Drosophila melanogaster: one gene and its partner. The protein of the gene in region 2 interacts with the protein of the main gene of each other region in a pairwise test. Each region holds a gene or a part of one and is shown on either strand. Other genes may lie near its edges.

Evidence for each region.
Region 1: the proteins of FucTB (region 2) and Or45a interact in a two-hybrid assay, tested with the Drosophila melanogaster proteins (one large-scale study listed by BioGRID).

The regions. Positions count from the first base shown.
Region 1 is NT_033778.4:9,343,561-9,349,411, reverse strand, and holds Or45a (odorant receptor 45a), read right to left. Parts: upstream 4,064-5,851; 5' UTR 3,991-4,063; coding exon 2,908-3,990; intron 2,854-2,907; coding exon 2,800-2,853; 3' UTR 549-2,799; downstream 1-548. UniProt on the Drosophila melanogaster protein: Odorant receptor which mediates acceptance or avoidance behavior, depending on its substrates. The odorant receptor repertoire encodes a large collection of odor stimuli that vary widely in identity, intensity, and duration.
Region 2 is NT_033779.5:9,427,897-9,433,024, forward strand, and holds FucTB (alpha1,3-fucosyltransferase B), read right to left. Parts: upstream 3,157-5,128; 5' UTR 3,035-3,156; coding exon 2,801-3,034; intron 2,534-2,800; coding exon 2,127-2,533; intron 2,105-2,126; exon of another isoform or gene 1,694-2,104; coding exon 1,516-1,693; intron 1,450-1,515; coding exon 934-1,449; 3' UTR 773-933; downstream 1-772. Other genes in the region: CG42847 (uncharacterized protein), read left to right, coding at 127-499, 554-606; scat (scattered), read left to right, coding at 3,818-4,005, 4,385-5,128.

The DNA of each region.
Region 1 (5,851 bases), on a different chromosome or scaffold from region 2:
GCTTGCACTTAGTGAAAGTTTGTTATACATTTATGTTTTATTTTAATTTTGCTGCTGAAAATCCCATCGAAATTCCGACAAATAAAGTCGAATCCTCTGCCCGCACATAAGTGCGCCATATAATTTGCATAAGTGCTTGTCATGCATGTGGCATCCACATTCCCATCCACATCCTCGCAAGGGAGCCGCTGCAAGCCAAATGTTCAAATGGGTCACACAAAGTCCCATAAAAGTGGGTTAGGAACGGGTGGCGTAAATCAAAGTTTCCAAACTGAGCTGAGGAGACGAAAATAGCGACTGGGAGAAGCGATTTCGGAAGTGGGGAGACTCGTCTCGTCTCGAGGGGAAAACAAGTCGATTTGGACAATGTCCAAATCTGTGGCAATTATGTGGGTAAAAACAGTCAATAAAACATTGTAATCACCGCTACTGTTTGCCCCATGGCTCAGCTCGATTGTCGCATTTGTGGCATTTGAAATTAAATTTAACCAAATAAACAAGAAATTAGGGGGCGTGCTGTAATTAGTCAAATCTCCGTTTAGTCCTGGAGTTGGAGTGCCTGCCTGCCAACGTTTGGCTTATGGCGCAATTCGTTGTTAGTTCCAGTCACGTTTCATTGTTTACTCGCTGTATGTGTGCCGCCAGCCCGTATTAATTAATGCATAGGAATGTGTATTTAAGCATATTTTAAATATTAATTAATGTAATTTCTATTAAAACTGGCTATCTCCGCGCCCGCCCTTCGCCGGCCCCTCGCCGTTGGAAAAACCTTTCAACAAGCCGCACAATTTTAATTAGAAAAGTTTCATCAAGGCCCTGCACAGCCGCCTTGTATGCTTAACCGAAAAATATATGTTATACATTTATATTGTACATATATACAGATGAAAATATAGCTTTGGCAAACACAAGCCCGATTAAAGTGGGACATTTTTTGTGCTTCCTATTTTCCGGTGGCCAAAGAGGTGGAATTACCGTGAAAACGGCTGGGTTTTTCCATTTAATTTGAATTAGCATTTGTGTTCGAAAATTTGAATTTCCACTTCGGGTGAATTGAATAAGTGTTTGGCCACTTTTCCGCATTGCGAACTTGATTTAAGCTTGGCATTTCAATTTTCGCATTAAAATACTGATAGTTTTTGTTTTCTTCATTTCAGGCAATTCATTTTGAAATTGAAAAATCAATTTTGTTGTAAAACTTTAGGTTAGATTTTTTGTTGGTTAAATGCAAACCATAAGCCCTGGGGTAATGCTTGCGGGAAACTACCAGCTGGCCACCATTTTGTTTTACAAAGATAAAACTGCATTAGGACATTTAAGTTTGAATTGCCATTGAAATTTGCAGTTTGCATATCAATTTACTTTGCATAAACGTTTGCTCACTGCGCGACAGCTTTAAGGACCTTTTTGTTCGATTATTAACCATTCGCCTCGTGGCACTGCCCACACAATACACCGCAACAACTGCAAAAAAACAAAAAAAGCAATGCAGCGAAAGTGCTGCCAGCACTTTTATCTCTACCCCACCGCCCACACACGCCTGCCACGCCCACTTTTCCTACTGCCACTGATGCTGATGGAATTATTGTGTGCTCAACGAACCGCAAACAAAATCTGTGCTCGCTCCTGTTCGTTTTTGTTCACATTTTTAATACACATAAAATGGTGATTTTTTTCACCACTATTTTCAGCTTGTGGCTCTTGGCCATCCGCTCTTATCTTGGCCACAATTTGCTGTAAAGTTATACCGCCCAGCAAACCCAGCTAGCTGTGGCAGGTTGATGCTCGAATTTTGTTGGCTGTTTGTGCCGCAGGTGCGTAATGGCCAGGAGCGATTCGCGCTTATTAATCGCTGCTCATTTGTTTTTTCGAAGTCAAGCCAAAGATGCTGACCAACGCAGACCAATAAATCAAATGTCAGAGACAAAAATTAATTATGCCCGCAATAGCGCTGTCGTAATTTGTAACATAATCCGAGGTGCCTGGCTTCCACGCCCGCACAATTTGTCACAGCTTTTTGGTAAAACGGTGGTGCACGGAGTCCGAAATACTGAGTCCATTTTGCATGTGCAAAATACCGAGTTGTAAAATTTAATAAAACAAATTCCGTTCAAGCGACTTAGCCTCCGACTGAATTCGAATCTCGGCAACATCAAGCCAGAAATTCCGTAGCAGGCAACATTCCGCAAGGCACGAAGGATAAGGGCAGGGTTCTTAGGTCCGCATTCCACCTGATCCTGATCCCGAAGCCCCGAAACTAGCTCAAGACCCGGGCTGAGTCGAAAAAGGAGCCCGAGGCCATTGGCTGGCAAGCAGCATGGTGCACATAGTTTGAGTAGCTATTTTTCAGCAACTTGTTCCCCACCTGAACGATGCTGCTGATGTTGCATACTTTCGTACTTTCATACTAACAAATTCCGACTACCTGGTGTATACATCTATATACATACAATACATACGAGTACCCATATGCACACACGACTGACATCATGGCCACACGCATGAGCTGGCTTCGCTAGCTGCCTTTGTGGAATGCCCTCATGAATTTCATATGCTCCTCCATCTGCCTGCAGTGGCATCAACCTGGGGCATGAGATCCCTTCGGGGCAGCTGAGCCCGTCAAAAACATGCTCGTCCAAATGGCAACTGATTGGAGTTGGGTTGTGGATGTTTGGATCGCTTGCCCATGAATATTTCCAAATAAATGTACTCGACTATTAAAGATTATTGATTGATTAAGAAATTATAATCATTTTTGTTCATTAAGAGGTAACTATTCTCAAGCTTCGATTTGATGGGCTAACGCTCGAAAGTCCTAAGCATGGCCAGAAATGAGCCCGCAGTTCTGATGACCTGCAAGATATAATATCTTAAGTATGCCTTAATAATCCATTACTAAAAACCCACCCAAAGCAGCAGTGGCAAGTCCACAACGAACATGAATCCAAAAATCTTAGCCGGTCGCTGCGCCCTCATGATCACCATTTGCCAGAGTCTTCTTTTCTTTGGCGTCATTTCTGGCCAATTGATTTGACCATAAACGGCTTGTGCGATGGCCAAACTTTGCTGCTTTATATACTCGCCTCCATAGCAATACGAACTCAGTTGGATGATGATGGCCACTAGGAAGGTGGCTCTAAATGGCACCTGGGCACTCCAGCCACTGCGGCTGAAGCGAAAGGCCAACATGCAGAGTTGCAGGTAACTGAGCATGTATTTCACAAAGACGATCTCCCCGAAAATCGAACTTAGTTCCTTGGCCAAATCCAGAGCTATACGATGACGACTAACAAACCCGGTCAGGCGAGAGTCTCCGCCATTCAGATCCTTCTCTTCGAGAACAAGCTCCAGTAGTTGGAACTGAATCACCACATTGTGAGTCAGCCAGGAGAACAGGGTGTCCGTTGCAATGGCCAACCAGGCGGCAGCTGCCACGCCCAGTACGCCCCAAACGTAGATGGGCCAATAAAAGTGAGGCTTTCGCTCGTCCAGCCAGAAGTTGAACTCCATGGGTGTGGTCGGGGTAAATACACCCGTCTCCACATATCCCCACAGGCCAAGCAACATGGGCGCTATGGCCGAGGCACAAATCACTCCGTAGGCGGCATTTCTAAAGGACCTGGCGACATACCTATCCAGTTGGTTTTCCCTCTCGATCTTCTCCAGGTGATTGGGCGTGGCACTGGCCGCCTGGTTTAGCTTATGCAAACGGTGAATCAACGATCCAATGCGCCTTCGTTTCGCCATCATGACCAGGAACTTGAAGGTGCTCTGTGATCCTTGCATAAACACCGCAAAGTTGTCCGTCAGACGGGTCAAGTCGGAGAGATCCTGCAGGGCATAGACTACCATGGGCCAGTTGTGAGAGATCAAGGACAGGATGAGAATCCCGGCCCAGATGGGATGTTTCAGACTCAGTTGCGGAGTACTGGGATCGAATCCAACTATTTCCAGAGCTCTTCTCTGGACGGCAAAGTAGCTGGCGTCCATGTTGGTCTTTCAACCGGATTTCGTTGTTGCACCAACTTTTATAGCAGCCACTGGGGGCAAAAAAAAAAAGAAAAAAAAGAAAGCTAAGTGGATGCCGTTGCCGCCCCTGAAATTGTGCCTGAAATATTTATTTCATCCGTTAACAGGCTACGTGACACGGTTACCACTACCACACTGGCTGTGCTGTTTTGATTGGAAATTTTCCCATTTCCATTTAGGGGGGCGTAAATATCGTATTAACAAATAAATACCCAACACAAGTGGAAGTGGTGCGACACGTTGTTTACCTATTTGTTTACATTCTATTTGGTTATCTATCTATTTATTTTCACTTTAACATTTAAATGCCTGACTGGACAATGGCATGTTCTTATACAAGACCGCAAGGGTTATGATTATGAACAAGTTGTGATAGATATAATTTTTTCTGTAGCCTTGACATTTGGGCTAGAGCAAAGCATTTTTCCTTTTAAATTCCTTTTAAATTTGTGTATTTTGTACCAAAAAGTTAGCGTAAAAATTCCCTGTAAATACACCAAAATGAAATTAATTTTTGGGCTGGCCCCAAAAATCCTTTTTTTTCCCAATTTGTTTGCCCTCTGGGAGGAAAATGTCGGGACCCATTTGGTCCGCACTTTATTCGCGAGTAATTCAATTACGTGGGAAATCAACAAGTAAATCTGCTTTCGAAATTTATCGCCGGGACTAGACGAAATCGAGTGAAATAGCCATTTGCCAGGCCACATTATCTCCAAGCGTTTTTTCCCCCCGATTTGCATTTTGGGTTCTTTGCCTTTGGGTTCGGCTTAATGTCACCTTAACTGCTCTCAATTAATCTAGAGTGGGTGTGCCAAATAAAGACCTTTTCCTGGAATTTTAATAACCATCATTTGCATTTTTCCGAAGGATATTCGTAGCTGACTTGTTCAAAGTTGCGGCTACAAAAGTTATGCAACGTTATTTAGAGCGAGCTATGTACATATGTTGGCCTCCGGCCAATTGTGAATACAAAGAGTTATGTTTGAAAAACATGTTCAGTAATTAATTAAATTTACACTTGCAGATTTTTATTTAAATTTCATAGAGTCTGAGTAGTCATTGCAGTCGCACGTTTTCACATATTCGCCCGTTTGCATATCAAATTGATATTTTATGCAAAATATTTACCGAAAAGCCACAAAAGCAATAATGCCAGTGGCTGTGTGCGAAAGAGAGGGTCAGTATGTGCGAAAGAGAGAGGCACAATGAGAGTGAGAAAGAGAAAAAAAAGAAAAATGGGGAAAACGGAGAAGAGCACACCTGCTGCTCGATAATTTTGACGTCGGTCCGGCTTTTGGACTCCTCAGCAATTTGCTTACCATCTGTCTCTTTCTCCTGAAACATCTCTCCCTCTCTTTCGCACACCATGTGCCCATCTCTCTCGCTCCACTGAGGTTTTCGTGTCTTTTGCGGCTTTGTTTATTTCATTGCCTTCATGTAAGTGAAGGTGTGGCTGTGTGTGTGCATGTGCGACTCCTTTGTGTGTCACCCATTTTGGAGGTTTTTTATGAGCTTGTGGCGAACCGTAAAAAAAAACCGTCTTCCAAATGGAGTGGCATGCCAGGCTTAACCAGCTTGCCGAACTCTTGCTTGCCAGACCCCACTTGCCCCCCAACTCGTCTTCTTTTGTTCAGTTTAAGGAACTAGCAAAATGTTTCACATCATGTTGATCATTTGTTGCCCTATCAGCGGGAGTTTAGGGGTACAGATAGAGTGTACGGAGCTGGGAGATACCAAAGAGATTACCAAAGATACCATAGGGAAAACATTTTATTTAATACGAGTCTTTGATCCCTTTGCTGTTAATCATATGATGTTTTAT
Region 2 (5,128 bases):
GTGTAGAGAGTATAACTAAATACTTACAAAATTTTGTTTTCCATTGAGATCGTCTTATAAAAATATTTTTTATATAAATATTGGTTCAAAATTTGCAAGACTCGGCTTCTTACCAACAGATGTACCATGTCGAATTATAGGGTTACATATAAAAATCGATGCATTAGCTGTGGCGTCGAAGTACCAGTCCTTTCCACAAATGGATGCCATTTCAAAGTTCAGGACAAATTTAATTCTTGTGGCTCCAAAATAAGCAATCCTCGAAAACGGCCGAGTCAAATAAAAAGGCACAGGAATATTTCTCAAAGAAAGCTAAATAATGGTTTTAAATGGTCTTCATCATCTACGAAAAAACGATTCTATCCGTTAGTAAAGAAACAAAAATTGTTGATGTCCTCAGAGCCCTCTCATAAGGCTCTAATTTTAAGAGAGATGATTAGGTTAGGAAGAAAACCGAATCGAAAGTTCGAAAAGGCTGCGAGAAATAGTGTATTTCCGGGTAAGTAATCATAATGCAATTTAAACATATCATAACGAAAACTTTAATTCTTAGGCATCTGCCGTACGATATTGAAACTGCACCAGTATACTAATCTTGTACAGTAGAGATTACTGATGTCACAGATTCTTTTGAGATCAAAGTCCCCACCATATGGAATCATTTGGATGGATGGATCAATGGATGTAGATGAAATGGGTACATGCAGACATATATTTTTAGAAGAATCAATGGAAATTTAAGTATTTAAATATTTATTAAGCTAACGTACTTATATTGTGTACAACAGTTTTCAATTAAATGGAATAGGAAAATAAAGTCCTGGATGAGGTACATTTACATTGTAAATACCAGAAATGACAGCTTATTGTAAATAGTTTAATATACATTTATTATCACATGGTAAAGTCTGTATGATTGACGTATTTTTCGAATTAAGTATTTGAACTATTACTGCAATTGTTTCCCTCAATCCTCCGATTGAGCTCAGCATCAAACTCTGCGTCATTGAAACCGATGTCTCGACGGAAGAACTCATCGAGTACCTTAGCTTGGCACTGGCCTACCTCCATTGCGGCTCGCCAATCCGCGACATTTTGAGGAATTTTCTGACCCTCCATCTTAGCATACACCGGTTCCAGGGGACAATTGTAATGACGCAAGTCGGCCTTCACGTTCCTGGCAGTATTGATTACATGGTAGCACACTGCACACTCGAACTTCTCAAAGAGTGATGCTCCCGGAGAAGAATCGCCTATGTGGTACTGGCGCGTGACAAGGTTGTGGAGTAGCTTTTTGTTGGAAATGGGGTTACGCCGATTTAGTTTGTGTTGGCGGTACGAATTGTACAGCTTTTTGTTATCCGCCAACTTATTGAGATACTCTACCAATGCCTGAGGATTTTGAAAGTCGTTCACAAAAATTGCAGATTTATTATTCGGTTCCCAGTCCTGCAATATTTGTAGAATGTAATAAAAAAAAAATTGTGAAAATTATTATTTGAAATACGGACTTACTTTTATGGTGGGTGAGCCAAAGTAAATTGGAATAACTCCCATTATCAAAGGACGCCAAAACTTTTCGGTAATATAATCCGGACAGGCAGCGTTCTCAATGGCAATCATGAACTTGTATTCGGACAGGAAACGCAGCAACTCCGGTGAATATAAATTATTCAAGTAATCCTTCTGCAAGCTAAAACAAAATCAATAGGCATTGAACAATTTTTACGATTTCGATTGCAAATTAGATATTAGTGTTTTTCAGCTCGACATGAAGGGCATCCGCATCTTCCGTTGCTATCTTGGTCAGAATCATTTGAACTATTTTGAGACTCCATTATTGAATCGTCATCACAGAAAAGAGGTTCTTCTAGATCTTTATGATTTCCCTGACGACAGCAGCATTCTCTGGAAACGTTGCTCATTTGAGGCAGCGAGCCGTACAACTGCACCCAGCACTCTGAACAACAGACCTTGGGAAGCTCGTTGGCACTTGGTGATGTCATGATGGCAAAGGAATTTTAGAACGATAGTGTTTCACGTGATGTGTTTGTCACGCGTGTTTGTTATGAGTGTGTAAAATGTTTGGGATTATAAATAGGATACAAATGGAATAGCCTACTTGCCTCTCTGGCAGATCTCTATTCCGTAGGCAGCTGCCGTAGGAATCGATCGGAAGATGTTTCATCAGTTCCTTTACGTAGTCCTCCCTTCCAGACATCGTGTCGCAGTCGCTTTGGAGGAACACCACCGATGTGGATGGACGGTATCCGTACTTTGACTTGCCGTCAAACGTAACATAGTAATCCTTCGAAGTAAGCGCCTCGCCACTGGGCAAGTACATCGTAGTCAGCGGCAAGTTGCTGTAGCGGCTAAACGTGGATGTGAAATGGAAGTGGCGAAGGAACTCTTTATTGGACACAAAAGGGGTGTTCCTTGGTGATTCTTCATGCAGTAGGGCCCAGATTTGGTGCTCGTTCCGAGGCAGGGGAAAGTCTCCCGTCTTTATGTTTGAGCCGTAAAACAGGACGCCCTGTGAAAAATGTAAGAGACATTCCGTTATTATTATATCAAATTACAATGAATCTACAATTACATATCTTACTGAAGTAAGCGAATTTGTATCTGCAGTGCTATGCATTTCTCAGTCTAAGCTATGTGTTTACATATTTTTCAGAACTATGGTACAGTATCTCAAACAGTTGGAGCCCTATATTATTATTATTTTCAATCCAATTCTTATCATGTCTGCCGGATGTGAAACAAAAAGAAATCTAGACTTTTGGTTTTTGAAACGAACCCGGGCCCACGGACGGCGGCTCCGCTTGTTGGTGATGCGGCAAGTATGAATTCCGCACTGGCGCTGCACGTCGTAATTCCAGGACATATCCCTGGACCACCAGACCAGCTCCACAGGACTGTTGAACTTGATGTTTTCGTAGTTAATGATATTTTCCGACCAGAAGAACAATACGGTCGCCCCAACCATAAGCAGCGCAACCAGTGCAATTCCGTAACGTTGTGCCAGTCGCATGATTATCTTTGCAGTTCTTTGCTAGCTAGATAATCAAAATTATTCGCTGCACCACTTCGAAAAGATTCAAAAAGCCGGTGCGCCGCAATTTCGCTCGAGCGCCCCAATTTCGACTGTCAGTCGTCAGCTGATTTTGCTCAGATGTAGTGTTGGATAACGTTTGGTATTTTTGAGACACGATTTGCACGATACGATTGTATGCCAGGAAATGTATAAACATTTTTATTTAAAAAATAAAACAGTTCTGCCTGAATGTTTAATATAATTAAAACATATAATTATTATTCAACTTAAATTTTTAAAGCATAATTCTATTTATTTGATATTTTGTTTTTTAGATATTCAAATTACATTAATTATATTAACTAAACATATACTATATTTATTTTCTGTTAAAATTAATTACTTTCATATTTTAATTTCGAGCTGCTGGCATCGCGCGCTTGACCGTTTCCAGCCCTCGCCAGCTGCCATCCAGTCCGCCGCTGTTTTACAACACTGAACTTCGTCATAATATTGTTCCACTTACAATTGCTCAATTAAGCGACCGCAGAAGCAACAGAAACACCCATAAATCGGACGAAATGTGCCCATTCCAAGGCTAGAGAACGAACAGCCAATGAAAGTGGACTTATTGCGGAGCAACCAAAATGCAACATCTGGCAAGAGAGGCAGACGAGCGAAGGTAGAAAACAAACATTGACATAACACGTCAACGATTGGGAGCAGGTGAACCACCGGGGAAACCATACGGCGCGGCACTTTAAACGCAGAGCATGTGTTATGGCCACGACAAGATCCGCCGGAGGTGCCGCCACGTCCGTTGATACTGGACCGGCAGCAGGGAACTCGGGTATCAGAAAGCTATCGACGGCTAGCGTCGGTGGAATTGCCGGAGGAGTGGCGCCCAGCTGGCAGAGCTGCTACTACTGCACCCGGGAGCACTTTAAAAGCATCAGCGACTTCGTCAAGTGAGTGTCGTCCAAATCTTCCCATATAATAGAACTTTGAGCAGCCTTACGAGTCAATACCATTTTTATCTTAACTTTATATGCATGTATGAGTTAAAACGATAAATGCCAGGTAAATTGCACAGACAGGTAGAAATAATTAAAATTGTATAGCTGCAGTCGAACTCACAAACCTCGTTTAGAGGTGTTTTGTACGTAAGTTATATTTGGGATTGTCTAAAAGTGATTATACGGAAAACAATACAACTTCTATATATGTAATTTTAAAGATAATAGAATGTGTTGCAAATTCAATTGGAATTTAATAGAATATTGATTCATTAAAGTTACTCAGATCTTATAAAGCTGTTTTAATAAATGCTCTCATTACGCATTACAGTCACCTGCGAAATCGTCACTGTACCCGGGAGGGTGGCTCATTTGTGTGCCGCTATGGCTTCAATGGAGTATGTGCCTCGCTTCCACTGGACGGAGTCTCAGATCGCGATTACGACGCCCATGTCGCCAAGTACCATGTCAATCAGCACACGCGCGAAATGCCTCCCGAATGGGGAGTCTACTCGGCGGCCCAAAACCTGCCAGCGGTGCTCAACGATCCCTCGCGAGGAAAGCAGAGTAATCTGTTTACCAAAAAGTGGGGCGAGCATTTTGTGGAACGAAGTCATGTGCCCCCATCACCCCGATTGCCCGATATAACCCATGCGGATTTTACCGTGTATCTGGGCAGCATAGGGAAGCGATATCGTTGGCATGAGCGGCGGCAGCAACAACTGGAGCGTGATAAACCGCTGGAGAATGGAGCACAAGGAGCACCTGGACCGGGAACTGGTGGTCAGACACCAACACACTTGAGTTCTGTGCCCGAGATCTTTCTGAAATCACAACTGCAGCTTCATCATCCGGCAACCTTTAAGCAGGTATTTCCTAATTACATGCAAACATCGGCTTCCAGTCCGGAAAGTCATCAGCAAACTGGTCGTCAGCTGCAGGAACAGCTGAGTCACTACCTGGACATGGTGGAAGTTAAAATAGCGCAACAGGTATCGCAGAAATCGGCTGCGTTCTTTCACGCCATGACCACGCAGCACGCTATTCTGGCTGAGATGGAGCAGGCGGCCGACCA